Linked DNA regions of Xenopus tropicalis. The protein of the gene in region 1 purifies or fractionates together with the protein of each later gene. This does not show direct contact. Links are inferred from orthologs where the notes say so. Each region holds a gene or a part of one and is shown on either strand. Other genes may lie near its edges.

Region 1 (16,982 bases):
GCAATCACTTGTTGGGCCACAGTGGGAAATGCTGCCGTCACACCTATAAGTGACAATGGCCTGCCCAGCATTGCAAAATGGTTTCAAGATAATTGCCATAGCAGGCAATCTGAGAGGGGCTATTGCATACCTCCCAACTGTCCCGCTTTCCGCGGGACAGTCCCGGTTTTTAGAGCGCGTCCCACTGTCCCGGATAGTTCCATGAATGTCCCGCATTTCCGTAATAAATTACGGAAATGCGGAACATTCATTGACTTACTCGGGACAGCGCGATGCGTTGGCGCTCCTTCTTCCCCAGCGGCTCCTCAGTGTATGCGGCTCCTTCTCCGGCGGTCCCAGGCCCTTTTATAAGGTTGCGCCCTTACGCACGGGTGACGTCATTACGCACGGGCGCAACCTTATAAAAGGGCCTGGGACCGCCGGAGAAGGAGCCGCATACACTGAGGAGCCGCTGGGGACGAAGAAGACGAAGGGAGCGCTGTGTATGGGGGGGGGAGGAATGTCTCTATTGGGGGCACTGTGTATGGGGGGGCTGTCTCTATTGGGGGCACTGTGTATGGGGGGGACTGTCTCTATTGGGGGCACTGTGTATGGGGGGGCTGTCTCTATTGGGGGCACTGTGTATGGGGGGAGCTGTCTCTATTGGGGGCACTGTGTATGGGGGGCAGTCTCTATTGGGGGCACTGTGTATGGGGGGGACTGTCTCTATTGGGGGGCGCTGTGTATGGAGGGGGGGCTGTCTCTATTGGGGGCGCTGTGTATGGGGGGGCTGTCTCTATTGGGGGCACTGTCTCTATTGGGGGCACTGTCTCTATTGGGGGCACTGTCTCTATTGGGGGCACTGTCTCTATTGGGGGCACTGTCTCTATTGGGGGCACTGTCTCTATTGGGGGCACTGTGTATGGGGGGACTGTCTCAGTTGGGGGCACTGTGTATGGGGGGCACTTTCTATGGGGGGCATTGTGTATGGGGGCACTGTGTATGAGTAGTACTGTCTTTTAGGCTATTGGGGGCACTGTGTATGGGGGGGCAAACCGGTAGATAGTTATAACTCACTAATAACTCACTGCCTTCTCTCTATATTTGTATTTTATATGTAGGAGTTGCTATATTGTTACCCTATACTCTCATACTATACAGTATGAGGGTATAGCACATTTGCGTCTGATCCTGCCATTTCTACTATATAAAAGGAGAATTTTTTGAAAAAAAAAAAAAAAAAAAAAGATGGGGTGTGGTAATTGGGGCGTGGCCACAAAAGTGGGCGTGGTCAAAATTGCCGCGCTGCGCGCACCAAATCTTTTTGTCCCTCTTTTCATTTTTCAAATGTTGGGAGGTATGCTATTGTAGGAAGCAAGGGTCGTTCACTTATAGTTCCGGGTCTTTGCAGGCTGAATGGCCTCTCTTATGACAAATTTAATTATAATAGATTATCTGGAGAGGAGCCAATCTGACAGTTGGCTAAAGACTAGTCGTGGGAATGCATAGCCTACACCTTATTCAGAGAGGCGCCCGGCCCGTAACATAGTAATTACAAGAACTGTTTTAAATTACGCAGGCAACACCGCTATGTAAATCAGAAGCAGAAACCCTTTATCTATCCATTATTTGGTGGCATCACATTTTCATTTCATATTCCCGATATACCTACACTGCGTGCTTATTATGACTGGAGAATAATGCAGTCTGTGCTTGGCACTAAGGGGGTGAAGATAAGATCCCCCCAGGGAATGCCCCACTCGGGGCAGCCACATTTAGGGCAACAATAAACATATTTTCCACTCTGTTTTTTCCAGAAAGTCATCATTCCTGGCCTTTTTTTTTTTCTACCCATCAACATCTACACCCTGCCTGGTGCCCCTAGGTCAGGGGTGGGCAAACTTTTTGGTTCAGGGGCCACATTCACTTACGGGGGGGACCTGATACCCAAATCTATGCACTGGCTACACAATTATGGTATGGGGGGACCTGATACCCAAATCCATGCACTGGCTATACAATTAGATGATGAGGAGGGAGGGGGAATGAGAGGAGGGCAGTGACATCTAAGAAGTCCTAAATTGAAAGTGAAAGTAACTGACTGCCCCACCCCTATGCCTAAGGCATAGAGGCGGGGCACACAATATATGATTGACAGCTGGGACTTTTGAATGCTTATATAATGGGTATAGATGTGTTAATAAAAAAATGACTTTGGGTTACATGTTTAATTTGAAAAGGGCTTTTATTATACAGCTTTTTATGTCTGGGTGACAGGTCCACTTTAAGGGGGCCGTGTCGGAGGTCCGGATTAAAAAGACCAACGGGCCGTAGTTTGCCCACCCCTGCCATAGGTGAACAGACATGTCAACTGTCCCAAAGGTCACATGGATGTGGCCCCTTTCCCCTCAGTCACACCAGAGCGGCGTAACAGGGTGGCCAAGTTGATATCTGTGTGTGAATTCACATGGTTGTCTAGCTACTCTGGCATATGAATACTAGGCACTATACTGCTGGCACTGTGTACTTACAGTACGTACGTACAGTATGGGATCTGTTATCTGATTTTTAGTAGACTTAAGCAAAGGAGGTCCAAATTACAGAAAAACCCCTTATCTAGAAAACCCAAGGTGCCTGGTACTTGATCCCAACTAATATATAACTAAAGTTTACTGAAGGCAAAACAATACTATCCAAAATGATTTTTAGTAGACCTAAGCTAAGGAGGTCCAAATTACAGAAAGACCCCTTATCCAGAAAACCCAAGGTCCTGAGCGTTTTGGATTACAGGTCCCATACCTGTATACATAGCTACATCAGAATCACTGACAGGAGGCCAGCCCAGTGGTAATACAAGCAATGGCTGTGAGAGAATGTGGGCCAGCATGGAGGGCCTGTATAGAGCGGCTGTACAAGCACTGGTACAGCAGCCGGATGCTCTAGTTTAGGTTTGTATCAGAACATATCATATGATAACATATCAGAACATAAAACTGTATATCTGATAGAAAGGGAATAGAAAGATTTGGCTGCACGGAATCACTGTTGCCTAAGGGACAATTGCTCTTCTGTTTCCTTAGTGTTGCTCTTGGGCGCTGCTTGGAATAACCCAGTGGGCACTCGCTCACCCCCAGTACAAAGGGGCTTTATATTCAGTTTCATGTTTAATCAGCGCCAGTGGACTTTACTGTAGAAACACACTTAATAAATATCTAATCCGGGGCTTATGAGGCCGGTAATTACTTGCTGTTGCACTGAGCAACTGATATTTCATTTTGCAAATGAGCTGATCTAACAACTAATTGGCACTGATGTGCGGCACGCAGGACACACCATTACCCCTTGCTTGCTTAGCGATCTCAAGCGGGTCTGTCCCTGCCCATATCTATGTACCAGTATCTTAGTTGGTTTGTCCATTGGGCAGCCTTGAAAATGTAATCTGCCAATGTGCCGTGTTGGTCAAATTATGGTACGTATGGAAGCAAAGAGCTTTGCAGAGTGCTAAATTCCTTTTTTCTATTCAGGCCCTATACATGTTCCAGCTTCGACAGCATGCAGGAACTACATAACCCACAATGCATTGCACTGGGATGTTCCTTTCCTTATTGACATCACGTGTGCAGGGAATTGTGGGATTGGGAGGATGCAGGCTGAAGGCTGGGGACAGGCGACTACTGTTACATTTTATTTGAGTCTCAAAGTAGCCAGCCAGATCAGCAGGGGAACAGGGGGCGGGGCTTAGGGAACTGTTATTATTAACATTTATTTATAAAGCACCAACATATCCCGCAGCGCTGTACAATAAGTGGGTTACATACATTGGACATACAGAGTAACATATAAAGCAATCAATAACCGATACAAGAGGTGAAGAGAGCCCTGCCCAAAAGAACTTACAATCTGTCCTAACCATTAAAAATCATGAAAAGGCTGCATATATATTAATTGATGTATATTGCAAAGCTGCTTGAAATCATGTTTACTTTTCAAAAAGCATAATTTGTGTTTGGGTGGAGTTCCCCTTTAAGCCGACTCCTGAGACTCTGCAGGCTCACTTTACATCATATGTATAACATCAGATCCAGATCAGATGTAAGATCTGACAAGCAAGGCTTCAGCAGGGGATTTTCATAATGAATACAAGCTTTTTCCGGAACATTTAAAAGTGAAAGATGATAAAAGGCCCCCATTCCCAGTGGCACTTTCCATTTGAGTATCATTTCCCTTTTAACCCTAGAACAAATTCCCACCACTTTCAGTTCCCAGATATAAAACACGGAATTGATTCCTGCCGTCTGCACCCCATATTTTTTATAGACACCTATGATATTAAATAAACAGATACCATATATATTCACTGTATGGGCCACCCGTTGTTTAGAAGGCAACAATCTATGACATGTGACTGGTTGGGTTGTGCCTCTTTTGCTACATCCCTGTACTAAAAATCAAATTCTTAAAAAATGAATAGCATGTTTCCTGTTGTCACGCATGTAGTTTCCATCAGGAAACAGGTGTTAGGGGCGCTGTTATATTAAAGCGGTAGTTCATCTTTAAATTAACTCTTAGTATGATGTAGCATGCTGCATTTGGTCTTTATTTTTTATTATTTGTGGTTTTGAATGATTTAACTTTGCAGTTTGCAATTTCAGCAGCTATCTGGTTGCTAGGGTCCAAATTACCCTAGCAACTGGGCAGTGGTTTGAATAAGAGACTAGTATATGAATAGGAGAGGGCCTGAATAGAAAGATAAGTAATATAAAGTAACAATAACATTGCAGCCTCACAGAGCAATAGGTTTTTGGCTGCTGGGGGTCAGTGACCCCCATTTGAAAGCTGGAAATGATCAGAAGAGGAAGTCAAAAACAATTAATAAATAAAAACTGAAGACCAATTCAGTATGAGACCAACTACTCCTAATTGGGAACCAATTGCTGTGAAGCCACAAGATACCACCGTGCTGTAGCACCGCCACGCTCACCTACCAGCCTGCCCATATATATGCCCAATACTTACTAAGCCTGTGCTTCTCAAACTATGGTACCAGCAGCAGCCATTATATGGTTACAGAATCCCTCACTGACTTCTAATATCCTTATACTATAATGGGGGGGACATTATTCACTATATAACACACAAGAGTCATAAAGATCCAGTTGAAGATATCCTTATACACTGTGGAAAGACTACTTTGTGAGGAAGGAAGGAATCAGTGTTGCACAGGGAACACTTCACCCAAGCACAGATTTTATATGGCTTTCTCTACTTTCACGCAAGACTCCATTGTGCCAATAATGTCCCTTGAGGAGTGACAGTGACAGCGCATCAGATTGGGGGCTGCTAATAGGAGCGGCCAGACTGTGCATTTACTTTCCCCACTACTTCTCTCTGTATTATCCTACTCACACCAACAGCCCTGGGCTCAGCCATTCATCCTCTTCATGGCCCAGTAAGTACCCAATGCAGGCTAATAGCCCTCACAGCATAGACATATATATATTAATTATCTGGTGAATTTGGTACATTATTTATGTCTAAACTGACAGTTGGAGGGGGCAGTTGGGCATTCCATGTATTGATTCTGGTATTGTGTGTGACCAGTGAGTAAACATAATGGGAATGTACCATTGGGTAGCATATGACGGGGGCAACACAGTGAGTGATAACTGGGGGGCAATAATGAAAGCTCTATTTGTTTGCTTTCCTATCTGGTTAAACCCTAAGGCTGCCAGTGCCTTTATGCCAAGGCTACAGCTTTGGGCATAATTACAGGGTATTTTTTGTTACTAAAGGCTGCAATGTGCCCTCTGACCATTTACACTCCCTAAGGGAGCGGAGTGCAGCTTACCCCATGGAAAACAGTGGGGCTTTAATCCCTGACAGCTCTGCAACTCTCAGCCATGGCACTGAGCCAAACAGGCACCGACCCATACAGGCACCGACCCGCACAGGCACCGACCCGCACAGGCACCGACCCGACCCCACAGGCACCGACCCGACCCCACAGGCACCGACCCGACCCCACAGGCACCGACCCGGCACCGACCCGACCCCACAGGCACCGACCCGCACAGGCACCGACCCGCACAGGCACCGACCCGACCCCACAGGCACCGACCCGACCCCACAGGCACCGACCCGACCCCACAGGCACCGACCCGCACAGGCACCGACCCGACCCCACAGGCACCGACCCGACCCCACAGGCACCGACCCGACCCCACAGGCACCGACCCGACCCCACAGGCACCGACCCGACCCCACAGGCACCGACCCGACCCCACAGGCACCGACCCGACCCCCACAGGCACCGACCCCCACAGGCACCGACCCGCACAGGCACCGACCCGCACAGGCACTGCCAGGCCCCAAGCTGCTCTGCAGAGGTTTGAAGCTGCCATAGAGGAGCAGAGCCCTGGCAGGGAGTGAGACTGGCATGATGGTTACACAGCGCTATATACAGGCACTAACAGATACAGGCTGACAGCTCTGCTCCCCAAGATGTTCTGCAGCAGTGTGGGGCTGCTCTAAACCAATAGGCTGCGGACACAGTGGGCGGGACATGTTGGGGTTCTGGGTTACAGGCTCTAGTGTTGGGGTCAGGCTCTAGAGTTGGGGTTCTGGGTTACAGGCTCTAGTGTTGGGGTTCTGGGGTACAGGCGCTAGTGTTGGGGTTCCGGGGTACAGGCTCTAGTGTTGGGGTTCTGGGGTACAGGCTCTAGTGTTGGGGTTCTGGGGTACAGGCGCTAGTGTTGGGGTTCCGGGGTACAGGCTCTAGTGTTGGGGTTCTGGGGTACAGGCTCTAGTGTTGGGGTTCTGGGGTACAGGCGCTAGTGTTGGGGTTCCGGGGTACAGGCTCTAGTGTTGGGGTTCCGGGGTACAGGCTCTAGTGTTGGGGTTCTGGGGTACAGGCTCTAGAGTTGGGGTTCTGGGTTACAGGCTCTAGTGTTGGGGTTCTGGGGTACAGGCGCTAGTGTTGGGGTTCCGGGGTACAGGCTCTAGTGTTGGGGTTCCGGGGTACAGGCTCTAGTGTTGGGGTTCTGGGGTACAGGCTCTAGTGTTGGGGTTCTGGGGTACAGGCGCTAGTGTTGGGGTTCTGGGGTACAGGCTCTAGTGTTGGGGTTCTGGGGTACAGGCTCTAGTGTTGGGGTTCCGGGGTACAGGCTCTAGTGTTGGGGTTCTGGGGTACAGGCTCTAGTGTTAGGGTTTTGGGGTACAGGCTCTAGTGTTGGGGTTCTGGGGTACAGGCCCTAGTGTTGGATGCTGGGAGATGTAGTTCTGCATTCACTGCCTTACCTGGATCCTCTCCAAATAAGAAGCCGGCACATACCCCGTCTCCCCGCTGCTGCAGCGACTCGCCAGCCACCAGTGCTGATTGGACCTCTCCAGGATCAGGAAGCTCTCTCCGGCTCCGAACAGCAGCGAGTTGGGCTCCGGGGAGCGGAAAGCGTACAGGGCTCGGTACATTGCGTTCCTATTGCTTCCAAGTCTCAGCAGCGGAACTGTCTCACCGGACCGGGCCAATCGCAACTAAAGCGCGTACTCGTGCCAAGGCCGGTCACGTGATCTCCAGTCGGGGCCGCGCACTGTGCGGGGAAAGCCCAGGAGCAGCCCCGCCCCTGCTCAGGTCATGTGACCTACAAGCGCGACCGGCGCTTCTTTTTTTCACCAAACTTTATTGTTCGTCTGACACTGAATACATACACACTGTTGTCTGAGGGAAGCAGCGATATCCATGCACCGCCATAGCACACACCGGCTTGTTAGCGTGCAGAGAGCGCCACCCCGAGTCCATTCCGCTGCCTTACACACCGGGTTTTAGTAAATAATTCCCGAAAATATCCGAATGTGCTGAAATTCTTTACAATGAATGAATTCAACAGAATTGTTTCATCCGCCCAACAATAAGTGTTGTAAACCAGTATAGGGAGCGCAAAGGTTACCAGTAAAACAGTCACATGATCGTCAAAAAAATGGATATTCAGAATGACTGAGATAAAGATCCGTATGTGACTGAAAAACACCGCGTCCCTGGGTGGGCTCGAACCACCAACCTTTCGGTTAACAGCCGAACGCGCTAACCGATTGCGCCACAGAGACGGTGCAGCCCTGTTACATTAGGCTCCCTATTGGATTTCTCACACACAGGCTTTCCGTATCCTTCCGCCGCGGCGCTGCGCTCACTAACACCGACTCCCACACAAACCGCTTACATATTCTCTACCAATCAGAATAGCGTTACCGGATACATTTAGTTACGTCATAACAGACACCGGTGCCCGGTACCGACACGGCAGCCGAAATAGCTCAGTTGGGAGAGCGTTAGACTGAAGATCTAAAGGTCCCTGGTTCGATCCCGGGTTTCGGCAGAAGCTGGCTGCACTTTTTGTTTTAAAGCCTCATATAAGCGCAGGGCTGAAGGTGCAAGCAACTTGCTTTATTTATAGATATTAGTGCAAAAAAAAACCCCACAATGTAATATATATAGTTACATAGTTACATAGGGTTGAAAAAAGACCATTGTCCATCAAGTTCAACCCATCCGAGTAAACCCAGCACCCACACCCTATACTAACCAATCTATACACTCACATACATAAACTATATATATACAAACATTAATACTAACTGTAGATATTAGTATCACAATAGCCTTGGATATTCTGATTGATCAAGAACTCATCCAGGCCCCTCTTATAGGCACTAACAGAATCTGCCATTACCCCATCTATATGAAAAGCTTAATGCAATGTACAAAGAAGAGCGGGCTGCGCACTTTTACATTGAGTTGTTTATATAAAGGGGAAATATGCTAGACATTCACATTATTTTTCTTGGTCAGTAGCCGTAGGGCCGCTGGTTGATTTGCACCCATCCTGCCAAAGTGTAGCTATGGCTCCATGTAATGAAGCAGCGCCCCCTAGAGGCCAAACAGCAAAGCAAAATAGTTAATGAAATGGCAGCTTGGGTGTTTAAATGAGACATAGGATAGATGAATAGATATCTAATCTTGTAGGCAGTTATGAATAATATATGGTGCTGGTTTTACTTTGTGTTAAAAACTGTGGGGTGTGAGGCCCATTGGGACTGCTACTATAGGGCCCCCCACACCCCCTCAGGGACCCGACCGCCTGCTCACCCACCTGCTGACTGCCAGCCCCTTCCCCCCATGTGTGTAGGGGGTGGGCAGTGGGATCAGGTCCGGGCTGCATGGCCCATAAGGCACAGGGCCCATCGCGTTCTTTTCCGCTGTCCCTCAGGCCCAGTGTGACCCTGTTCCCACACATACCCCCTGTCACACTCCTTGTTCCAAATGATGGTCCCTACCAGAAGCACAGTGGAGGGATAGCCAATCACAGCCCTGCAGTCACACAATCATGACATATTTCAGTTCCCTATCAGGTCGGGCTAGTTGCTGATTGGTTCCTATCTTACAGTGCTGCGTGCCCCCTGCTTCCCTGTGCAGCCTGGGAAAGAAGGGAGCAGGAAGTGGCACAGATGGGCGGGACTAGTAGGGTTTGGGGGGAACCCAACTTTTTTAAGCACATTCCTTCTATATTTAGAGAAGTATAATGCACTGGCACATTCTTGTTGTCACACAATATGCCTACTTTTAATAATAAATCTTTATTTAACCTAGTGGGAATAGCTGTAGGACACTGCCAGGGCCTGTATAAATGTACTAGGGGCTAAAGCAATAGGGACAGTCTTTTGCCCAGAATATAGTTAGGACTGGGCATATATAGCCTTAGGTGGTACTTCCAGTGATTGGCCACTAGATGGCGATATATCTACAGAAATGATGGTTCAGACACAGTATTGTGATTATAACACAAAACATTACTCTTTTCCAAGTTGCAGTTTTAAGAGAGGGTCCCTTAGAGCTTGTGTCTGAGCAGCTTTAGACGGATACATTTCTCCTCTACCCCCTTGAAAGAATTTGTAATACATTGGCGCTTTATTCATTTCTCAGTTAAAAGTACAGAGGCAATGGATTTCTACAGTGTTTAGTATTCTAGAATCTCTTGTCAGATGATCAAGTGAGACATAAACTCTTGTATATACGTATATTTATTATATTTATCCCATTATGCTTATAAGGGCTCATTTACAAACATAGTGAGAGAAACCACAAGTGCCCTTGCAACCACTCCGCAATTAGTTTCAATATTCTGTATTACAGGTCCCTACATTACTGCCCCCTCACCATAAATATGCAGAGACTGGGGGGTGCAGCGCCCACCGGGGCTCCCGCCCCAGGGGCCCTGCAGGTGCCCCCGCCGGTGGCGTCCCCTAACCCCCCCCCCCGCAGGGTCCCCCACCCAATGTCCTCCCCTGAGTGCACGTATGTTTAATGCTTCAGGGGAGGAACGGTCGGGCAGGGGGAGCGCCGGCAAGGGTCGGGTCTGGGCTGCTGGGGCCCACTAGGGCTGGGGCCCACTAGGGATTTTTCCCAGCGTCCCGGCGGCCCAGTCTGACCCTGTGCAGAGCTTCTCCATAGCACCATGCGCCAAATTCTCCAAACAATTCCACAATATTTGAAATGAATTGAATCCTCAGCAAACTGAATCCTTACTGTCATGTGACCGTAATGGCGGAGGCTGCTGAAGGCAAGACATTTTGCTTATAGATGCAGTTTAGTCTTAGACAGAAGTATTTGGGCTGTGGCTAGGGTTGCCACCTGTCCAGTTTTGACCCAAACAGCCTGGTTTTTCAAGGCAGAAACCCTCCAGATTGCGTCCGGCAGATGCAATAACCCCATTCCCTGGCATCATCACAAGGCCAGAAAACATCATCACGTGATGTCTTTGTCTGGGTTTAAAACCTGGCAAAGGCAACCCTAGCCACGCCCCTTATTTGGGCTGTGGTCCTTGGTGGCCCTTCATGCCAAATGAGTATATAGTACATATAGTACATTTCTGATGTGCCCCTGGCGCCCCAGTCCAACACCAACTAAACAACTACCCGGCAGTCATGTTTCTACAGGTCAGGCAGTGGATAAACTAGGAAGGCGCTACCCTTAGGGACCCGTATCTATGTGCACCATGTGCCCTATGTGTAATCCTCCCGACATATTAGGTTTCCTCACATTATCTCCAGCCTGTGATCCCGCAGCCTCCCAGGAATCCCCTTGCTCCATGGGCCACACTGATGGACATGTATTTAGCCAGATTCCTAAACCTATTTACATCCCGCTCCCCTCGCTGCTGCACCGAGAGCGCTTCATTAGGAATGTTATTCTGGGCTTGGTACCAACAGGATGGGTTCCTTTAAAGGGTTAAACATCTCATGCCGCAGTTTTGATCTTTAAGCTCATTTGCTAATTTCTCCCCCATGAGTTTATTGGCAGCTGCCCTGGCCCCAGGGACCCATCCCCAGAAGCCATCTCTCACTAAGCCTGGCACACAGGACAAAAGGGGGAACATAGCCGTCATCTCCGTGTCCTTGAATGGTGGAATTTTTCCTGGCAAGACACAAAGTGCGAATTGTTTCTGTCTCCGAGGGGACGGCATAGGTTCTTCTTATCAGTGCCATCGTCTCCTAAGAACCTCTGTGTGTCCTTCTCCAAGCTCTGCCCAAGCTCTGAGGCCCAGGCAAGTAAAGGAATAAGGAGAGAGGAAGGTTAACCCCTTGGGAGCAAGGAAAGTTCTGCCCCACCAGTGGACCAAGACCTTCTGTCTAGTGACACGGAGATAATTAGGAGCAGTCATTATGATTAATGATATCAAAAGAATGATTATTATATGGATACTGATACATTTATCTGCAATGTCAGATACTCTAGACCTTCTAGGCCTTACATATTCGGGGCTCTTAGGTATCTGAGAGCGTTGGGTACAGATATATGAGGCCTTCTAGATCTTTTAAATGCCCTGGATCTAAAAGGTCTAGAAAGTCTCAGATATCTGTATCCAGTGAACTCTCTTTTTCTTACTCTCCTGATTTAAGCATCACACATGAAAAACCCAGTAACCACTATCTGCCCTTTATCTGCTCAAGATCTGTCCTCTGTCTGGCCACTATCTGCCCACTATCTGTCCACTATGTTCCCACTATCTTCCTTCTATCTGCCCACTATCTACCAACTATCTGGCCATCTTCCTACTATCTGTCCACTATGTTCCCACTATTTTCCCTCTATCTTCCCTCTTTCTGCCAACTATCTGCCCTCTATATTCCCTCTCTACCCTGACTGTGCCCTCTATATTCCCTCTCTGCCCTGACTGTGCCCTCTATATTCCCTCTCTGCCCTGACTGTGCCCTCTATATTCCCTCTCTGCCCTGACTGTGCCCTCTATATTCCCTCTCTGCCCTGACTGTGCCCTCTATATTCCTGCCCCCCCCCATGATCTTTATGGTGAGTTGTTTGGCCTTTAGAAAACCGACACCAGAGAGGGTCCCACTAAGCCACCTATAAGCCACACTGTCTGCCGCATCTATTGTTACCCCTCTGCATCCCTGCGATGTTAGATCCCAGTCGCCCCATGTTGGCACAGCTATCAGCTTCCCCTAATAAGGAAATAGCCCACTTCTACCCACAATAAGGCCCCCAGTGCCCCCGGCACACACTCTGCACCTGACGCCACATCCCAATCCCTCACACAGAGCTATGCTGTGCTGCAGAGGGTGATGACAGTGCTGTAGTTTATGGCTCTGAGTTCCAGGCTCATCCTTTAAAAAAGAACTTTTTTTTTTACAAACAAGCCCTTATGCCAGTTGTTTCCCAATATAAATACAATACCCATCATCCTGACAGGATACAAACTGGGAGCCAAACTGTCTGTGGAATCCAGGCCCTGCTTCGCCTCCTTTGTGTAACACTGACGCACATATCTGACAGGTCGCTCCATATTTATGGGGAAGGCTGAAGCGACACGGACTAGCAAGTAGGGTTGCCACCTTGCCAGTATTTTACTAGCCTAGACAGTAAAACACCTGCCATGGCAGGGGCTGGTATTACAAATTAATAGGCAACATAGTAGCTGGTGAGTTTGCAATACTCTTAATATCAGCTCCCTGGCCTTCCCCCCGATTCTCCCCTGAAACACTTCTCCATTACGCTCCATCCACCACAATGTCATAGCTCCGCCCATTTTACATTATTGTTCTGCCTATCTTACATCATTGCCCCAACCCCTTCCGTACCCGCCCCCCATTAAAAACTCTTTAGAAAAGTGGCAACCCTCCTAGCAAGCTACCTTAGGGTTGGCACCTTTGTCAGGTTATATAAACCCAGAGTCAGTGATGATGTGTGATGACATCACGGAAACATCATCATCACATGATGACGTTTCTGGCTCGTAAGGATGTCATGCAATTCAGAGGGTTTCTGCCTGGTTTTCTGAATGTTGAAAGCCACTTGATAGGGCAGGTGTATAGTAAGTGCCCCCCTAGTGCCCAGGATTGCACCCACCTCTGCAGATACTACATCATTAGGTTTGCCACCTCACTTGCCCGGGAACTCCGGGCAGGGAGGCGGGGTATGACATCACAGGAGCGGGGCTATGACGCAATAATTGGCAATCACAGCGTCAGTCCTAGAGAATCCTGCGTGGGTTTTCCTATTTGGGGAAAACGGGCAGGTAGTTTTGATCCAGGCAACCCTACTGAAAACTGGGCTGTCTGGGTCAAACCCAGACAGGTGGAAACCCTATACACCATAATGACTGCTGTTTATTATTTAACGTGCAGTAGGGTGGTCAAATCATTTCCCATGGGGTCCCGGCTCCCTACCATCACTTGTAAGGATCAGTTACCTTAGTCCTTGATTTCGTGACTCCTCTACTGAGGCCTATCTCCTCCTCAGGCCCTCTGGCACATCCACCTCCTGTTATTGTAGAGTCCAGAGAGGGTCACACCACTGAAGATGAATTATTTTCAAAAGAAAAACCATCACCGCTGCAAAAAATACCAAGAAATGTCACTAGATATCCAACATGAGTCAGTAATGTGACCCCACTGACCCACAGCGTGGCTGGATTGTTCTAGAGAAACAGATTCCCATTAAGGAACCTTCTCTCTAAGAAAAACGGATCTGTTTACATGTAATTAGGCCAGAGGAAGGTTCTGCCTGTCTCAGGTCTCACAGCCACAAAGAAATAGTGATATTATGTGCACACAGACCTCCCCGTGCGTGACTCGCGTGCCATGCAAAGGGACTACTGGGTAGACTGGTTATACTTAGGTTACTGAGCGTTCATTACATACTGGGTGCACCCAGGGCTGCACTTCCTGCATACACACCCGAGGGCCCATGCCTGGGGGGGAACGGCCCGTGGCCCTGTGTCTCAGTAGCCTTAAAGACAAGGGCTTAGAACTTTCAACATCACTTTACATTGGACCTATTATTGGTGCCTGAGGTGTAGTCAATTCATCTCCTGCCAGGAGCATTAACTGTACTCATTGTTCAATAATTATAGCAATAAAGATATTTATAGATGGCTATAATTACATAATCTCCCATTTAAATACTGAGATTGTCACACCAGCTATGTGCAGATGGATTAGTATGTTAATTATACTCCATGCCTGCCACAGGCAGTGTTGACAAGGCCATACATAAATGACTGCAGTCGGGTGACAGTCAGTCAGGCACAGTACATACTTATAGGAAATAAATAGTGTTGTCTGTAGCAGTCACGGGGCCAGAGGCTATTATTACACTACTACTATAGGCACCATCTCTCCCTACTATACCTGCAATCCCACAGCCACAGTCCCTTCCCAGAGGCTATTATCCCCCCCCCACTGCTACTATAGGCACCATCTCTCCCTACTATACCTGCTATCCCACAGCCACAGTCCCTTCCCAGAGGCTATTATCCCCCCCACTGCTACTATAGGCACCATCTCTCCCTACTATACCTGCTATCCCACAGCCCCAGTGCCTTCCCAGAGGCTATTATCCCCCCACTGCTACTATAGGCACCATCTCTCCCTACTATACCTGCTATCCCAAACCACAGTCCCTTCCCAGAGGCTATTATCCCCCCACTGCTACTATAGGCACCATCTCTCCCTACTATACCTGCTATCCCACAGCCCCAGTCCCTTCCCAGAGGCTATTATCCTCCCACTGCTACTATAGGCACCATCTCTCCCTACTATACCTGCTATCTCACAGCCCCAGTCCCTTCCCAGAGGCTATTATCCCCCCACTGCTACTATAGGCACCATCTCTCCCTACTATACCTGCTATCCCACAGCCCCAGTCCCTTCCCAGAGGCTATTATCCCCCCACTGCTACTATAGGCGCCATCTCTCCCTACTATACCTGCTATCCCACAGCCCCAGTCCCTTCCCAGAGGCTATTATCCCCCCACTGCTACTATAGGCACCATCTCTCCCTACTATACCTGCTATCCCACAGCCCCAGTGCCTTCCCAGAGGCTATTATCCCCCCACTGCTACTATAGGCACCATCTCTCCCTACTATACCTGCTATCCCACAGCCACAGTCCCTTTCCAGAGGCTATTATCCCCCCACTGCTACTATAGGCACCATCTCTCCCTACTATACCTGCTATCTCACAGCCCCAGTCCCTTCCCAGAGGCTATTATCCCCCCACTGCTACTATAGGCACCATCTCTCCCTACTATACCTGCAATCCCACAGCCCCAGTCCCTTCCCAGAGGCTATTATCCCCCCACTGCTACTATAGGCGCCATCTCTCCCTACTATACCTGCTATCCCACAGCCCCAGTCCCTTCCCAGAGGCTATTATCCCCCCACTGCTACTATAGGCACCATCTCTCCCTACTATACCTGCTATCCCACAGCCCCAGTCCCTTCCCAGAGGCTATTATCCCCACTGCTACTATAGGCACCATCTCTCCCTACTATACCTGCTATCCCACAGCCCCAGTCCCTTCCCAGAGTTTATTATCCCCCCACTGCTACTATAGGCACCATCTCTCCCTACTATACCTGCTATCCCACAGCCACAGTCCCTTCCCAGAGTTTATTATCCCCCCACTGCTACTATAGGCACCATCTCTCCCTACTATACCTGCTATCCCACAGCCACAGTCCCTTCCCAGAGGCTATTATCCCCCACTGCTACTATAGGTACCATCTCTCCCTACTATACCTGTTATCCCACAGTCCCTTCCCAGAGGCTATTATCCCCCCCCACTGCTACTATAGGTACCATCTCTCCCTACTATACCTGCTATCCCACAGTCCCTTCCCAGAGGCTATTATCCCCCCCCACTGCTACTATAGGCACCATCTCTCCCTACTATACCTGTTATCCCACAGCCCCAGTCCCTTCCCAGAGGCTATTATCCCCTCCACTGCTACTATAGGCACCATCTCTCCCTACTATACCTGCTATCCCACAGCCCCAGTCCCTTCCCAGAGGCTATTATCCCCCCACTGCTACTATAGGCACCATCTCTCCCTACTATACCTGCTATCCCACAGCCCCAGTCCCTTCCCAGAGGCTATTATCCCCCACTGCTACTATAGGCACCATCTCTCCCTACTATACCTGCTATCCCACAGCCCCAGTCCCTTCCCAGAGGCTATTATCCCACTGCTACTATAGGCACCATCTCTCCCTACTATACCTGCTATCCCACAGCCCCAGTCCCTTCCCAGAGGCTATTATCCCACTGCTACTATAGGCACCATCTCTCCCTACTATACCTGCTATCCCACAGCCCCAGTCCCTTCCCAGAGGCTATTATCCCACTGCTACTATAGGCACCATCTCTCCCTACTATACCTGCTATCCCACAGCCCCAGTCCCTTCCCAGAGGCTATTATCCCCCCACTGCTACTATAGGCACCATCTCTCCCTACTATACCTGCTATCCCACAGCCCCAGTCCCTTCCCAGAGGCTATTATCCCCCCACTGCTACTATAGGCACCATCTCTCCCTACTATACCTGCTATCCCACAGCCCCAGTCCCTTCCCAGAGGCTATTATCCCACTGCTACTATAGGCACCATCTCTCCCTACTATACCTGCTATCCCACAGCCCCAGTCCCTTCCCA
Region 2 (16,183 bases), on another chromosome or scaffold:
CCAGGCTGCTGCCGGTTGGCAACTGTGACCTCCCAGAGGATTTTGATCCAGCGGTGCCCCCTCGGACCCCTCAGGAGTACTTGCGGAGAGTGCAGTAAGCTGCCATTACGTTCTTTGCAGAGGGAATTGGGTTTGGGTAGATCTAAAGCTGCTGCCTGGGGCACCGAACTGCCGTATGTTGAGCTCTTCCTGTTGCTGCTCTTAAAGCCGGAGGGCTGCAGGGGTAGCAATTCAGTAGTACCTGTAGCATTTTGCACTCACACATTGGGGCAGGCAGCTGGGGGAATGATGTTTACATATATAGTGCCGCATATACATGCAATTTTGTCTGTGTACCGAACTTGGTTTGGCAGACATAGTGTGCCCTTCTGTAATAGACCTTATCGTCAGATTTTTCTAAAGTGCCAACATATTGTGCAAAAAGGTTGTATTCATACAGATACATACATATTACATGCAACCCAGATGATTTAAATGGTAATAAATGGGCCATGTCAGAGTCATGTTTGAGATATCTGACCAGCTTAATGTTGGCTTCTTAGTTTGATATTTTTAAAGTGTGGCTGCCTGAATGACTACAGAGACCTATAAATGAAATAGATCATGACTGGCCTGGCTTTGCTTTTGCCCAATACATAGTTACATAGGGTTGAAAAAAGACCAAGTTCAACCCTTCCAAGTAAACCTAGCACACACAAACCTAAACTGACCTATCAATACTCTCACATATAAACTATATATACAAACATTAATACTAACTGTAGATATTAGTATCACAATAGCCTTGGATATTCTGATTGATCAAGAACTCATCCAGGCCCCTCTTATAGGCATTAACAGAATCTGCCATTACCACATCATTAGGAAGGGCATTCCCCAACCTCACTGCCCTCACCGTGAAAAACCCCCTACGCTGCTTCAAATGGAAGCTCCGTTCCTCTAATCTAAAGGGGGGGCCTCTGGTGCAAAATTATGTTTTCATTCCTTGAGACAATGCCTTTTTTATACAAGACAGCACTTTATTTGCTTTAGTAGCCACAGAATGACATTGCCGGGAATTAGACAACTTATAATGTAATTTTAAATGTACAGATAAGGGGGGGGGGGGATATGGGAAGCATCTTAGGGCAGAAAACTGTATGTAGATTGTGGGGTGCCTATTCTGCAGTCTTTTGAACTCCAGCTTTCTGTTTCCTTCAACTTTTTTCTGTCTCAGGGGATGCTGGGAAGTGTAGTTAAATAACTGCGAGCTTTGCCACCTGGGTGCAAGGTGTGCACACATTTTATTTGTGCACATTTTTCAAAAACTATGCATACAAGCACGGTGTGTTTGTGTGTGAGTGAACACGGGAGTACACAGCTTAGATGTAACATTGTTGTAGTGCAAGCCTGTCCAACTGGAGGCCCATAGAGCAGATGCGGCCCTTCAAAGGATTTTTATGGCCCCCAGTCTGCTCAGAAGCTCCCTAGACTTCGTTAGGCTAATGACAGACGAGGCGTAGGGCGGATATTTTCGGAAATCGCTTGCTGAAAATTCCACCCTACGTGTCCTACATGTACCTGCACCCAAATGAATGAGATACGCTCGGGTGCAGGCACATGTAGCCGATATACGCATGAAAACGTGAGACTTTGCATTATCTCGCATTTTCATGCGTATATCGGCTACATGTCACATCCTAATTTTAACTTAATCTGGCCCTCCAACATGCTGTGCCAGATATAATTGGCCCACTACATATAATCAGTTGGAAAGCACTACCTTAGTGTATATACTGAAATAGTTATAACGCATTACAGAAAATAATTTACTTGAACTTTTTTTTTTTTTTTTTTTTATTATAATTCCCAACCCATCCCCTTCCTGCAAGTTTGTGGCCTCGGCCCAATGATTATATTAAATTTCTGTTTATTGCCATATTGCTTGGTAAGGGGCCTGCAGTTGTACCCACAATAATGTAAGTAAGTCACTAGTTAAGAAGGAACATCAAGCACACCGGACAAATGGAGTCTGCTAAAAGACGGTCTTTATTTCTTTATTTTATAATCTAAAAGTGCCTGGTAGTGGTAGGCTGCCTTGAAAATGTTATACAGGTATGGGACCCATTATCCAGAATGTTTGGGACCTGGGGTTTTCTGGATAAGGGGTCTTTCTGTAATTTGGATCTCCTACTTTAAGTCTGCTAATAAAATTATTTAAACAGTAATTAAATCCAATAGGATTGTTTTGGCTCCAATAAGGATTAATTATATCTTAGCTGGGATCAAGTACAAGGTACTGTTTTATTATTAAAGAGAAAAAGGGAATCCTTTTTAAAAATCTGAATTGTTTGATTAAAATGGAGTCTATCGGAGATGGCCTTTCCGTAATTCGGAACTTTTTGGATAATGGGTTTCCAAATAAGGGGTCCAATACCTGTAATACAAAAAGAGTGCAGTTTTGAAACTAGGCAAAAGTGAGGATTAATAGTACACTGTTTGCACTAGAGTATTGATGGGGAACTGGTTCTTTGTGATATAGTTGGCCAATATCTTGCAAGCATGTTAAAAACTAAAACTCTTGTGAGTCTTTGGGGTTGATATATGCTATATCGTAGATAATGAGATATGCCAGGAAAAAAGGGAAGCATGTGTACATTTTGTGTACTTATTTGACCTTATTAAAACTATTGCCTTTCAGGATTGAAGCAGCACGGTGTCCAGATGTTGTCATTGCACAGATTGATCCAAAAAAGTTGCGAAAGAAACAGACCGTTAGCATATCTGTGAGTAACCAGCTGTAAGAATTAAAATCACCCACCCCCCCCCCCATTATTCACCAAAAGTGGGACCACTTCTTTCTTTCCTTCCTTCCTTCCTTCTTTCCTTCCTTCCTTCCTTCCTTCCTTCCTTTTTTTTTTTTTTTCTTCCTCCTTAAGGATGCATATTGTTCAGTACAAAACGACTTTATATTGATATCCAATCTGTAAAAGTTAAAATGCAAATAAAAATCATTGAAAAAGAAAATCGCCCACCCAGTACGTCTGTGCTACATCCCCCTTAGGGATGGGGCACAATGGGTAACTGAATTGCTGTGCTCTTAAAATGTCTTTTTAATGCAAAGTCTTTTAATACAATATGAAATACACTGCTGTGGCACAGCATAGTATTAATATTCCTTCCAACTGTTTTAAAGTTGGCCACTATTCTATTTCTATTAGATTGCCATAGTGACCATTAATTGCATGCCTTCCTCATGGCTTTGAAGTGCTAAATCATTGGTGCCTGTCCTTACAGCTGTACTGCCAGGCAAGTAAAGCAGCCCTGTCTTTAAGTGTGTCGTTTATGAAGTCAGTGTTTGAGACATTGACTAAAATTCCAAGAATCCAGTGGTTCTGAAACCTGGAAGCGTGGGAAGTACAAATGAGATCACCTGCATTGTGTTCCCATCTTTGTACAGCCTCACTGACATGGTGTCGGCTTGTGAGCAGGCCGAAAATTCATGCTTTTTAGTTTTTGGGCTGTAATCCACTCAGTGTAGCTGCACACAAGCTGACTCCATGCCTGCCGTTTAAGATACAAAAAGTAGTGGATCTTTTTTTCTCCCCCTACATACAGAACACAGGCAGAGAAGATTGTATCATCCACATTGTGTGCACTTAGCCTTACAGTGTTCAGATATATTCTCTGTAATTGTTTATTTCAAGCCACTGGTGCTCAAAATGATTCATAATAAGTATTTAGTCTCCACACTTCTGTATAGTCACCTTTGGAATTGCCAGCTACATGCTAATATCACACTAGGTCTATGCCATCAAAAGATGCCAACCAAGAAGTGACATGAATGGCATATGCCTGTTAGGTAGATTCCATTCATGACACTTCCTACACACAAAAAGTGTAATAGGTGTTTTTCTGCTGGCAAAAAATAACACCTCTTCTGACATATTAAAAAAGGGTATATATAAGGCTTCTGTATTACTCAATATGCTATGCGATTGCACTTTTTCCAGCTGTCAGGGTGCCAGCCTGCTCCCGAAGGGTACTCTCCAAGCCTCCGCTGGCAGCAACAACAAGTAGCGCAGTTTTCTGCTGTCCGTCAGGTAATATTCCTGCTCTGATATTCCTACTCTGATAATTACATTTCTTTTCTGAAACAAGTCCTGTAATGGTGCCCAAGGTGTTTTGAACTGTGTGGTTGGTTGAATATTGTTCAAATAAACCAAGGTCAGTGGCCATGGACCACTTCCCCATTACACACAATATGAAACACTGAAATAGCCAAATAGCTCCCACTTGTAAAACTGTTACAGTGTTAACATTCCTCCTTTTCTTACATAGCTCCCACTTGTAAAACTGTTACAGTTTTAACAGTCCTCCTTTTCTTACATTTGCCTTGGGGAATATAGGAACTGTGGGTAAAGCTTGCACCACTAGGAGGCAGGACACTAGGGACTTTGAGTCATAAAAACTAAGGAAGTGATGAACACACACATCCTGCTGGGGAATAATAAACCCAAACCATATCAATGCCCCCTCTCTCTAATATATCAATCACATTATATTTTTCTTAGCACATTTGCCTCTCTTTAGGCTAATGTCTAAATAAGCTGTTTCTCCACCTGTGTTTCTACGCAACTGATGGGAGCAGAACTGCACCCATCAACTCTGTGTGTTAAGCGCATGGACAGGCACTGCATCAGTGTGCCTTGTTTGTGCAGTGTGCACACGGTGGATTTTAGGGCAAAAATGCAAAGCTATTCATTTTTGTAACAGTGGGTGTGCATCTGCTTCCATCAGCTGTTTCTGCGCAAACAGCCTAATGCAACATTAGCCTTAAGCTGGCTATACATGTAGCGATTTTCGATCTCCCGTGCGACCAGTGGTCGCTTCCACCCTCCAGACGTTTACGACTGAATCTGATATGGAGGTAGAAACAGCCCTGAACGTAAATTTTGCATCAAAATCTTTTAACCTGGCGAGGCGACCAATATCCGCAGCCTTTTGTGATATCGGTGGCCTCCTTAAGCCACCATACACGCACCGAAAATTGTACGATACAAGGTTTCGTACAATATCTTCGGTGTGTGTATGGCTAGCTTAAATCTTGCCAAACAAGTGGATCGTTTCCTGATATGCCCTTGAGGTGGGTTATTATTGCATCACATAACTGGATCTTACATAAGATCATTTACCCCACAGAGTCTTCACAAACACAGGAGTCACTGGAGGTCTCAGCCTTTGGACAGCAATGTTACAATGGTGAGTGCAATTATTACACTTGTGTGTGTTTTGGACTGTCGTACAAACTCTCAACTGACTTTAATATACAGAATTAAGGATAATGTGCCAATCTGTGCATTAAGGACATCCTCATGTGTGGCCATCTTGCACTATAGTAGTATTAACAGGGGTGAACTGCGGTTTAGAACTAATGTTTACTGAATGTACCCAGTGGTGTCTTTACAGTGCTGAATTTCAAAGTTAAATATTTTTTTTGTCTGATCTCCAGCCAAGCACAGAGGATGAGGAGAGCTGGAAGAAGTTCTGTTTGGGGGAAAGGCTATATTCTGACCTAGCAGCTGCCCTGAACAGTGACAGCCAGCATCCAGGAATTGATTATATAAAGGTGCGTTGTACAAATGGCTGCTTCTGTTTGGCTATTGCCAATGTATGTACAGATCCTACTTGTATTTTGTTACCCCTAGACATAATGGCCCAGCAAAATGGCACAAGTTTGTTTATATATATTTTTTTTGTTTTGTTCTACGTGTTCTTTCAGGTTGGTTTCCCACCCTTGCTGAGCATTGTTAGTCGGATGAGCCAGGTAAGACCTTCTTTGTTTTTGTTTTGTTTCATTTGCAACATTTATCCTTTAGTTTGATTCTTTTCAAAATATGGAATTCTCTGCATAAATTACAAATCTTTGTTTGCTGTGTTAGATGCAGTCAAAACTTTCTAGTGGATCCTGAATGGTTAACAAGGCACAAATGCTTTTCTAGTTGCACATTCAGAAGCTGCTCTATTTATTAAGAGAATTATTTAATTTATTCTCACAGTCCTAAAGAAAGAGGGAGATGATAGCAGAGTGGAAAACACTGGCTATAAAGAGAATTTTGAATATAAGAAGAACATGTTAATATAGGATAAAGAAAGCCCAATGGTTACTGTAAAGCTGACCTCCTAAACAAAGATGAGGTTATTTAACTTAATTACTGAAATGCTCGAAGATGGGGCCAAATACGATGAAGTTGTTTGAACCCACTGATTAGACCTCTTGGGGGCCCCAGGCAGTAAGATAAACAAATGTCCTCCTGTAAGGAAACGATGACCTGTGCCAGTCAGGATTAGGCAATAAATGGACATCGGTCTTGCCAACCATTTACTTTTGGCCAAAACAATTACAGGTACAAGTTCAGTCCTGCTATGTTTTACTCTGTTTATGTTGACATAACTGTATAGAATCTATTCATCTGTGTTTTTTATTCTGTAATTATTTTGTCTTTAAGGCGACCGTAACAAGTGTGCTAGAATACTTAGTGAACTGGTTTGAAGAAAGGAACTTTACTCCAGAGCTGGTAAAACATATATATAGATATATATCTTAATTTACAATGTGTTGTCTTTATATTATTATTATTATTATTATTAACATTTATTTATAAAGCGCCAACATATTCCGCAGCGCTGTACAATAAGTGGGTTTCATACATTGTACATACAGAGTAACATATAAAGCAATCCATAACCAATACAAGAGGTGAAGAGGGCCCTGCCCAAAAGAGCTTACAATCTAGAACCGTAGCTTATTATTGGTAGATCCCTGAATCAAAAAGAATATTCCAACAGTTGCAGACCTAAACAATTTTGTTTAACTTCTATGTGCCTACTGAGTACTGATCAGCACATAGTCACATACTTGTGACTATACTGGGTGCAGGCCCAGACTGCTAATCTGTGGCAAATACCAGAAGGGCAGCAGTAAGAGGCCATAGTCACTATTTAGTGGGCCTGTGGGGGGTGTTTGGGCCTTTCTGTGTACTTGAAATGCCAGGGCCTGTTTTGAATCTCAGTGCAGTGCAATACATGGCAAAAAAACAGTTGTAATTATAGTCTTCATCTTTCATTGAACCATTCCTCACTGTATACTTACTGTGCAAGCTCTACTCTACAGCACAATATTTGTTGCACACAACTTTTTCTGCCCAAGTAGTAATGCAGATATACTGCGGATGTCTTCTAGGGTCGTTGGCTTTACGCACTACTGGCCTGCCTGGAGAAACCATTGCTGCCTGAAGCTCACTCTCTTATTAGGCAGTTGGCACGGAGATGCTCACAAGTCAGAGCTGGGGTGGTAAGAACCTTTTTTTTTTTTTTTTTGCCATTTAAACAATATGTATAAATGTGGTCTACTTAAAAATTGGATCATTTTTCAATATATCTACCTGGAACGTTAGTGCTTCATATTGTCTTCTCTCAGCCTAAACCAGGGGACCCCAAGCCCCTGGATATGAAAGCTCCTGTTTGTTGGAATCTTGTTAGAAAAAAGAGTGGAGAAATTTTAGGACCCAAACTTTATTGTTTATGCCCCTTCATTAGCATTTCCCTGATCTGATTGGCTAACGCGATTTCAGCCCGTCAGATCAATGACCAGCAAACAGGCTGCACTGTTGAGTAGCCCATGCGCCCCACTGCACTGTGACTACGTCAGAATACTAAGCGATGTGGCCCTCCGGCTGTTAGAGAAAGAGACCAGAAGATTTATGCAGCACTACCTATCCCAGTAGACCCATTTAAAATGCTCTATTTTGTTTACTGAACCATATTACAATGTGTACATAGCCAAATCTATAGAAGCTGTTAAAAAGCTGAACATTAAATGATTCTGATTGTTACTTTAGTATTCCTCGGAGGTTTACTAACTTCATTAATCATTTTGACTAATTTCTGTTTTTTCCCCAAATCATAATGACACATTGACTATTAATGGGATGGATAACTTCTTACTTAGGTTTTAGTATGTTATAGAATGTACTATTCCTAGCAACTTTGCAGTAGTTCTTCATTATATTTTTTTTTATATATGTTTTGAATTACTTGTCTTTTTCTGCCTCTTTCCAGCTTTCAAATGAGGCTCACTGACCCCAACCAAAAAAGCTCTGTGTTGCTACAATTTTACTGTTATTTTTACTTTGTATTACTCAACTTCCGATTCTCATTGGCACATTCCAATCTGTTTAATCCACTGCCTGGTTGCTATGGCAAATAAGACCCTTGCAACTAGATAGCTGCTGAAATTCCAAGCTGGAGAGCCGCTGAACAGAAAGCAGAGTAACTTAAAAAATAACCCACAAAAAAATAAATGAGGACCAGTTGCAATCTGTCTTAGATCAATGTCTACATCATACTTAAAGGTAATTTAAAAGGTGCACAGCCCCTTTAAACCTTCTTTATTGGTATTACCAGTCCCCAAAATTTAGGTTTTGGCTGCACTTTTCAGGATTCATTCACATATCCTGAACTGGCAACTGGTGTGTGGGGTTCACTTGGGAAAACAGGCAGCTGGGATTCACCTGTTCAGAAACAACCAATTTAAACCTTTTCAGGCCAGAAGGTTGATTACAGTATGTGATTTAGTGTATGGAGCAATGTGGGAATTTCCAGAAAGCTTTCTATGATTTGCCAGGCAGTGATTTGTATGTGTGATGGGACAGCTGCTCCTTTCAGCCGATAATATGAATAACTGTGAATGTTCTTTATCCTAGGAACATAAGGAAGATGAACGGGTGTCTGCGCTGAACCTATTCATCTGTCTGGTTGGCAGGTAATGAGCCTCGCAAGGTGGAAATATTGGCTGCAATGTACTGAACTAGAAGTGAAGACTCTGAATGAAGAGTTCTAAGAACTTAAATGTTTAGAGGGTATGGGATCCCTTTCTGGAAAATCATTATCCAGAAAGCTACAGGAATGCTATCTCCGTTAGAATCTGTCTCATCTCCTTGTGGACATAGGAACACTAGGGGTTGTCCCTACCAGCCTTCTCGGAACCGGGCTGCATTCTCAGGCTTCCCCCTCTGTGGGATATTTCCAGCACCAGGATCATTTCTCACTCCTGAAGAGCAGGCCATCTAGCCGTACTCTGCACCTAATCTTCATAGTACTAACTGGGGGTGCCCCCAGCACTAGCAACTATTACTCAGGCAGTACCCCTGGGTTGCATATTACGCAGTTCTATAGGCCTCTATTCCTGGCTGTAACGGGTGGTTATTCGAGTTTACCACACTTTGGATACACGACAGTTTCACTTTTCCTCCATAGTGGGCACCAACTGTGCACTCAGGGGTACTATTGGCTGCCCACACTTGCGGGGAGGTACTGTCCCTTCCCTGCTCGACGCTCCTAATCTTCCTTTGGGACCCCATCTTGGAGATCACTGTCCTTAGTTCCCTCTGTGCATACCAGCGAATAATAGTGACAACTTATTTCCCGGGGGCATGGACTCCATTAAGTAGACAGACTCTCATTGTGCATCATGCCAGGCCACAGATGTTCCTGCAGCTTTTGTACCAGGCACTGCTGCTTCTGCTGAGACTGCCGCCTCCTGTCTACCTGAGGGTGGACATACCCCTAGCCCCTATTCCCTCTGGCTCTGGGATAATCACATCGGGTGCAGGAACTGGCCCGCTTCGCCCCTCAAATCAAGAAGGCCAGTTCTTACATTTGTGAGGCAGCACTAGACGCAGCTCAGATTTCCATAGAGCATTATCCTTGGTGTTAACAACACATTCATTCCATGATTTGTCCACACCAATGATTTCAAATTCCCTTCAATTGGGCCTGACCTCGGGCCTGAATTCTCTCAATGCCCAGATATTGCCCCTTTTGGTGCTATTACAAAAAACAACTGCTGTTGCTGCTGGATGTGAATGCTTTCGCCAGGGAGCACCCCACTTGGGGCCTACCTTCAGAAGTCCCTGACCTCCTTGGGATCTTAACTTTGCTGAGGGCACTACAAGAACTCTTATTTGAGCCCTTAGCTTCAGTTTCCCTGGTTAGTCTCACATGGACGACTGTTTTTTTTGTGGCCATATCATCTGCGCACCAGGTGTCAGAACTCTATTCTCTATCCTGTGAATCCCTCTTTCTCATTTTCCATCTTGACAAAGCAGTTCTGCACACTGTCTCCCCCCCTTCCTAACCAAGGTGGAATCACAGTTCCACATTAACCAGGAAATCACAATTCCTTCATTTTGTCTCAAACCTGGAGAGGAATTAGGTCACTCTTCATTCCCTGGATGCAGTCGGTGCTCTCAAATATTATGTCAGCAGAACCTGCAACTGTAATAGTAAATGTTAAATATTATGTTCAAATTTTGGCTAAAACAGATTGTGCCAACACTTTCCCTAAAATGAAGGCAACCAACTTGTGCTGTGAGTCGCTGACACGTTTCACTTGCTCTTACGGTCTGATTCCAGAATATTTGCAGTGCACAACTGGCAAATAGCATGGGGTTTTTTTTTGTTTTTTTGTACTGGGATAAACAGGTTAAAGAACAAGTCAACCCAGAATATAATTTTTTGCCTAATAAAAGGACACAACATTCTAAGCAACTTTGCAATCTACATTCATTGCAAATTTCTAATGGTTTTTGAGTTATTTGTATATATGATTGCTAATAAAATCACTGTTTGCCTGCCCTTTCCTATTCCCTGCCCTGGTGGCTGTGGCATATGAAACAGTGTAACACAAGGCAGCAGACTGACAGACCTGACTTGCTGGAGGAGACTGACCTTTGCAACGTTGTTTAAAAAGTAACAACCAGGAGTTCAGCAAATGCTACTTTCAATAGCAATTACATTTACAAATAACTTTTAAAGCACTAAACATTTTTAATAAATTCATATTGGAAAGTTGCAAACAGAGCATAGATCACTGATGAATCCTGCCATCATATTGCTAATTATTAATGCAGACTTCTTTCTTTCTCTTGCTTAGGTACTTTGAACAACGGGATTTGGCTGATTGTGGTGACCCATCTTGATATGATTGGGCAGCTTTACCAACCCCCCCTACCCTCCATTCTCACAGAACATCTCTGCAATATCCATGCTATCCACTTCCCTTCCATTCCAGTGGTGCACCAACTACATAGTCTTTGGATTCAGGACACTGTGTGGTTTACACCTCTTCAGTGCCAACGGCCTGGAATATGAAGGTGCAAGGACAGGCATGGGTAATCCTCTAGCCTTTTAGATGTGGAGCCGAACAAGTTGCAGTTGAACAACAGCTAGAGCGCTTCACTTTGCCCATCCCTGAGTTTGGCACTGACCAGTTGCACGTTGACCTCTTGCCTGCCATTGGCAGTTTAGTGTAATGTTTTCTCTTCCTGGAGCCTGAAGGAGCAGCAGTCTCATTTATCGTTTGTTTCTGTTTTTCTGTCCTTGTCATATATTGGCCAAAGTTGGAAAGATATTAAGTGCCTCGGTGGGTTTGTGGAAACCATTTTCCATTCATTTAACCTCACCCTGCAGTTAACCCCTTCTCTGCCAGCTGTTCATCAACAAGCTGGGATGGAGCAGTTAAACCAGTCTGTAGCATGGGAAAACTGTGAAACTGTACAATTTAGATTATTTATTTGCCTTTAATTTTGACTGTTTTCCCCCAGTTTGCCTGTTATCATCTGTGTCTGAGCTGCCTCTGTAATATGGCCTACTCATAAAGCCGGGGCTGTGAAGTGGATTCAAATACTGTACCCCTTTCCTTTGTTAGGTCTTGATTTTAAATAAAGAGAACCAAGTGCTTCCTAAAACATCTGCCTTCTTTTTAATTGGCTGGCCGGGTTGAGTTATTTTTTTAATATGGAAGACTTTCCAAATCTGTCTTACAGAGGCCGCCCAAGCACAGAGTATGCATTGACTTCTTTTAGCAGATGTGTAACATTTTCTTGCATTTCTGTACATAAATTCTTTTTTTTTTTAGATTGTGTTCTGACCTTTTTTCTTTGCAAAAGGTTTCCAAACAAAATAGAAACTGTGTCCACTTGTGCTGCATTTACTCTATTCAGTCACTCAAGCATGGTGCAAGTAGCAAATCAACTGAAAAAGGCTACAGCGGGAGGGATTTACAAAACTGGCAGCAGCAATATATGGCATCTAATTAGAATGTTGGTGATTGAGTTTCGATGGGTTATGAAGCCAGAGTAAAACATTGATTTCAGTTTAGGGTCAGTAAATGCATGGGACTGTGCAGGGCTGGAACTATGGTTAGGCAGTGTTGGGCACCAATACTACTAGGCCCAGCTCAGGGACTTTTAAATCCCATGTTTTTGTTTACGGTTGCAACCTCATCCCTTCAATACCAGCCACATATTGAATCCACATCATGCATGTTTAGTTGGCAATTGATTTAGGTGCATGCTGCAGACCAATCTGATTAATATGCAGCCACGCAGCATGCATCTAAATTAATTGCTAACAAGCCGTACAGGATGTGTATTAAGGGAAAGTGCTAAATAACTTATAGAATAGCCTTATGCACACCCAGGAAATATAACACACCATGATATGCTCCGCTTTAACACACTTAATTTGTACTGTTAACATTTGTGGTATGCAATTGTTTGTAGTGTTAAGTATAATAAAGGGTTTTTTTTTTTTTCTTGCTTTTGCATATACCATGGTGTGTATTGTGCTATTCTAGAAGTTGTATTTTGTTCCATTTTGGTCATAATTGACTTAAGGAAAATGGCATGTACCTTTGCACCCATACTATATATACAGTATGTTTCTAGTGCATGTATGGGATCTCTTATCCAGAATGCTTGGGACATGGGGTTTTCCAGATAAGGGATATTCCCATAATTGGGGTCTTCATGCCTCTACTAAAAATATATTTAAACATTAAATAAACCCAATAGGGTTGTATTGCCTTCAATCAGGATTAATTATATCTTATTTGGGGCCAAGTACAAGGTACTGTTTTATTATTACAGAGAAAAGGTATCATTTCTAAAAAAAAAAAAAAAAAGAATTATTTGCTTATAATGGGAGATGTCTTTCCCATAATTCAGAACTTCCTGGATAATGGATTTGGAAGTACAAGTAACATGTAAAACTACAAACCCAGGGACTGTAAAAATGAGTGGAAATAGGAAATCTTGAAGTGCATTAAAAAAAATGGCAAGCAGCAATAAAATACACACATGGCTACCATTTCCTAACCATTCAACGCCTGCAAAATTTAATAAAGTAATGAGCTACAATCTCAGCAGCTGCCCGATGGTGTTTCATTAGTGGTTTTATCAAAAGGCAAAAAAAAAAAAAAAATTCCTTCCCGCAGGTGTAAGGGGAGGTGTGTGTATCCAGGGTATAGAATAAACAGCTTCTATGAAATAGGACAAATAGTTTATTTGTAGGTGCTGGATGAACAGATACCAAACCTATTCTCACTTAATGGAGGTCCTGGTCCTCTAAGTCTTGGCAAAATAAAGCATTCTTGGCATAAAGTAGCTGATTTAGTGGATTCTCAACTTGTAGCTGGCCTTGCTGATTCTGCCTTATGAAGGCAGGTTTGACACCCTTTCAGTAATATGTCTGGCCGGAAATCTCCTTGCAGGTAGATGAGAATGTTGGCATTGTCAGATCTCTCATTTAGGACACTGGCCAAACACAGTGAACAATGCTAAAGTTATTCATGTGGACGGGCAAATCTCACATCTATAGGCAACCCAGCTGGCCACCTCAGCCCCACCATTGTTGCTGCCGCTACACGGATGTTTGTCTGTGTGCATTCTTTCAGGCACATTCATTTGCACACTGTGTAAGAACAAGCGTAGTTACAAGGGCACGGATTAGGGGAAGGTAACAGCAGAGGTATGTGGCTAGCCCTAGGTTCTACTCTGAGCCGGATACCTAGCAGATCTCTGCACAGCCACCAAGAGAGACAAGTCTGCATTCACGGAACATTCTGTACAGTCACTTTCTACAATACACCACCATCCAGGCAAACTATAGCTCAGCCTAACGAAATGATTTGTGCATTTGAGGACAAACAATAACACAGCCCTGATGCACACCCACCTGAGCAGCCAGTGCTATTTAATACATAATATACTTCCATAGGTTTAGACTTCCCATCACATGTGTTTTTTAGATGGCAGCTTGGTTGATTTGTCCTTCCTACGTGCCACTGCTGCCTTTAGCGCTGCTGCAATCTGCTCCCTACTGTTTAGTACATTGTACCGATTCACTGCTACCAAACGGTCAAAGTGCTGTGGCTCATATGTAAAGTTCTTTGTTCGGAATGGCGATTCCTTTCCAGTTAAGTCTACTTCTCCATTTAATTTCTCCTCTTCCGTCTTCCGCTCAACTCCTGCAAAAGGAATTAGGGAGGCTAGTGAAATATCTTTTTATACAAGTACTGGTGCGGGGTCTGAGGTTAGCCATTATAATTACTTGGTGTTTGACAAATCAGCTCCCACCACCCCAGTTGTGCAACATACATACCTGGTTCTATGAATGTGCGGAACGTGTTATTGACCATGGGGAAGTGAAGCACTATGGGAGCTCTAGGGTTATTATGGTCCATGAACACATAGCATTCCTTTGGCTGCTTCTCATCCTCATTAGTTAAGGTGATTTCAGGGAAAGGGATGCCTCTCTCTCTGCAGTAGGTGGAGGTCAAGTGCAGCACCTAAAAGAAATAAAATTGTCAGACATGCACTGAGCCCCAGTCCCATTTTACTCTCTATGTATACGCTGATCACAACCTGCACTGCCCTAAAATGCAGAGGTTGGGATCTGTACACAACCTGGAATTTGCAAATGGGAACTTGGATGGGACTCTTTTCTAGGATTTCTTTTGCTTTGCTACTTTCACTTAAACTCGATTATGCCCATTGGCACTTACAAAAACTGCTGTAAGAACCCTTAACTGTGCCATGTGTTTGTGAACAAGGACAGCTATGTAGTTGTAGTACTCATGGTTGGACTTGGAGAAAACCCAGTGGGCAATCTGTGGATTCTGGAAAATGCCAGAGGGGCTGCTGTAAGATGCCATAGGCACTCACTATTTATTGGGCTGGTGGGGGGCTGTTTAGGCACTGAAGAGGGGGTATGCATCTGGGGGAGGGGAATAGTGACAACAACTGCAAGGATTTTTTGCAGTGAAGGTGGTAGGCCCTCAAGTTGGTGGCCCTTGGCAGGCCCTGGACACCCCAGTCCCACATAAATGGTACTCCCTTCCTATAGCGGTTATACTGACAGATACATTTGATGGTTTCACTAAAGGATTAAGTGCCTTATAGCAAAAAATACAAGATTTACAAATAATAGATCCTGAGATTTGTCCTATTGCCGTTTTGGGTTCAAAAGCTATCTTTCTTTTAACTCAAGGCAGGTTTAGAGAGAGGTTTCTCACCTTCCTTAATATCAGCTATTAATCTGAGCAAATGGTTGAACTTAATGAGCATGTGTCCTTATTCCACCCTCAACTACTATTTAACCATGTAAACTGAGCTATTCCTTAGATATTCATTTGATGAAGGCACTTTTTAATCTCACACAGAGACAAATAATTCAGTAAAGCTAAATAGAGTCTCCGGTTTAAAGAGTCATTATTCTTTTTTAACAGACTCACCTCAAATGGAGCACCCCATGAGTAGTTAAAGGAGAGAATGACATCTACATCTCTCTCAGGCTGCAAAACCAGCGGGAAAGGAGAGTTAATAGAAAATCCTCCATCTACCAAATATAAGCTTTCTTCCATTGGAGTCAATTGATTGGGGAAGGCATCCAGATGAGTACCTGAATAGGGGTATATAGAGAATATAGAGAATAAAGGTATTTATGTACAATATGTCTGCTCATGTCATGCCACTCCCTATGGGGACATTCTGTATGTATGCAGACATAAAGGAAATTATATCAGCTCTTTGGCAGAAGCTGAAAAAACTACCTGCACTGCTGTAAAAGCCTCCATGGGAGGGAACAGGTCCAATTTACTTTAAGTAATTAAAAAATTGCAGTGCCCCAGCTTTATTATTCAACGCACCGATATAAGGGCAGTAAAGGTACACTTTATAGGCCATCGTTATGCTTTTTATAAGCTCTATATGCTTTTTTTATACTTAACCTCTTATTTACTATTCCAGTTTTATTGAGATTAGTACAGAATAAGTGTTGGCTGTGCCCATACCAAGAGTGA

What was found.
Region 2: the proteins of nckipsd (region 1) and gemin2 purify together in Homo sapiens (co-immunoprecipitation; 3 studies listed by BioGRID and IntAct, counting the BioPlex papers as one, with this or other methods). This does not show direct contact. The link is inferred for Xenopus tropicalis from reciprocal best matches to the Homo sapiens genes NCKIPSD and GEMIN2.

What each region holds. Positions count from the first base shown.
Region 1 is NC_030680.2:136,179,569-136,196,550, forward strand, and holds the start of nckipsd (NCK-interacting protein with SH3 domain), read right to left. Parts: upstream 7,536-16,982; 5' UTR 7,447-7,535; coding exon 7,276-7,446; intron 1-7,275. UniProt on the Homo sapiens protein: Has an important role in stress fiber formation induced by active diaphanous protein homolog 1 (DRF1). Induces microspike formation, in vivo. In vitro, stimulates N-WASP-induced ARP2/3 complex activation in the absence of CDC42.
Region 2 is NC_030684.2:114,041,619-114,057,801, reverse strand, and holds the end of gemin2 (gem-associated protein 2), read left to right. Parts: coding exon 1-94; intron 95-2,680; coding exon 2,681-2,765; intron 2,766-3,992; coding exon 3,993-4,082; intron 4,083-5,181; coding exon 5,182-5,241; intron 5,242-5,491; coding exon 5,492-5,608; intron 5,609-5,761; coding exon 5,762-5,806; intron 5,807-6,488; coding exon 6,489-6,557; intron 6,558-7,222; coding exon 7,223-7,333; intron 7,334-8,744; coding exon 8,745-8,803; intron 8,804-10,975; coding exon 10,976-11,021; 3' UTR 11,022-11,789; downstream 11,790-16,183. Other genes in the region: pla2g4f (cytosolic phospholipase A2 zeta), read right to left, coding at 14,115-14,350, 14,485-14,671, 15,617-15,783. UniProt on the Homo sapiens protein: The SMN complex catalyzes the assembly of small nuclear ribonucleoproteins (snRNPs), the building blocks of the spliceosome, and thereby plays an important role in the splicing of cellular pre-mRNAs.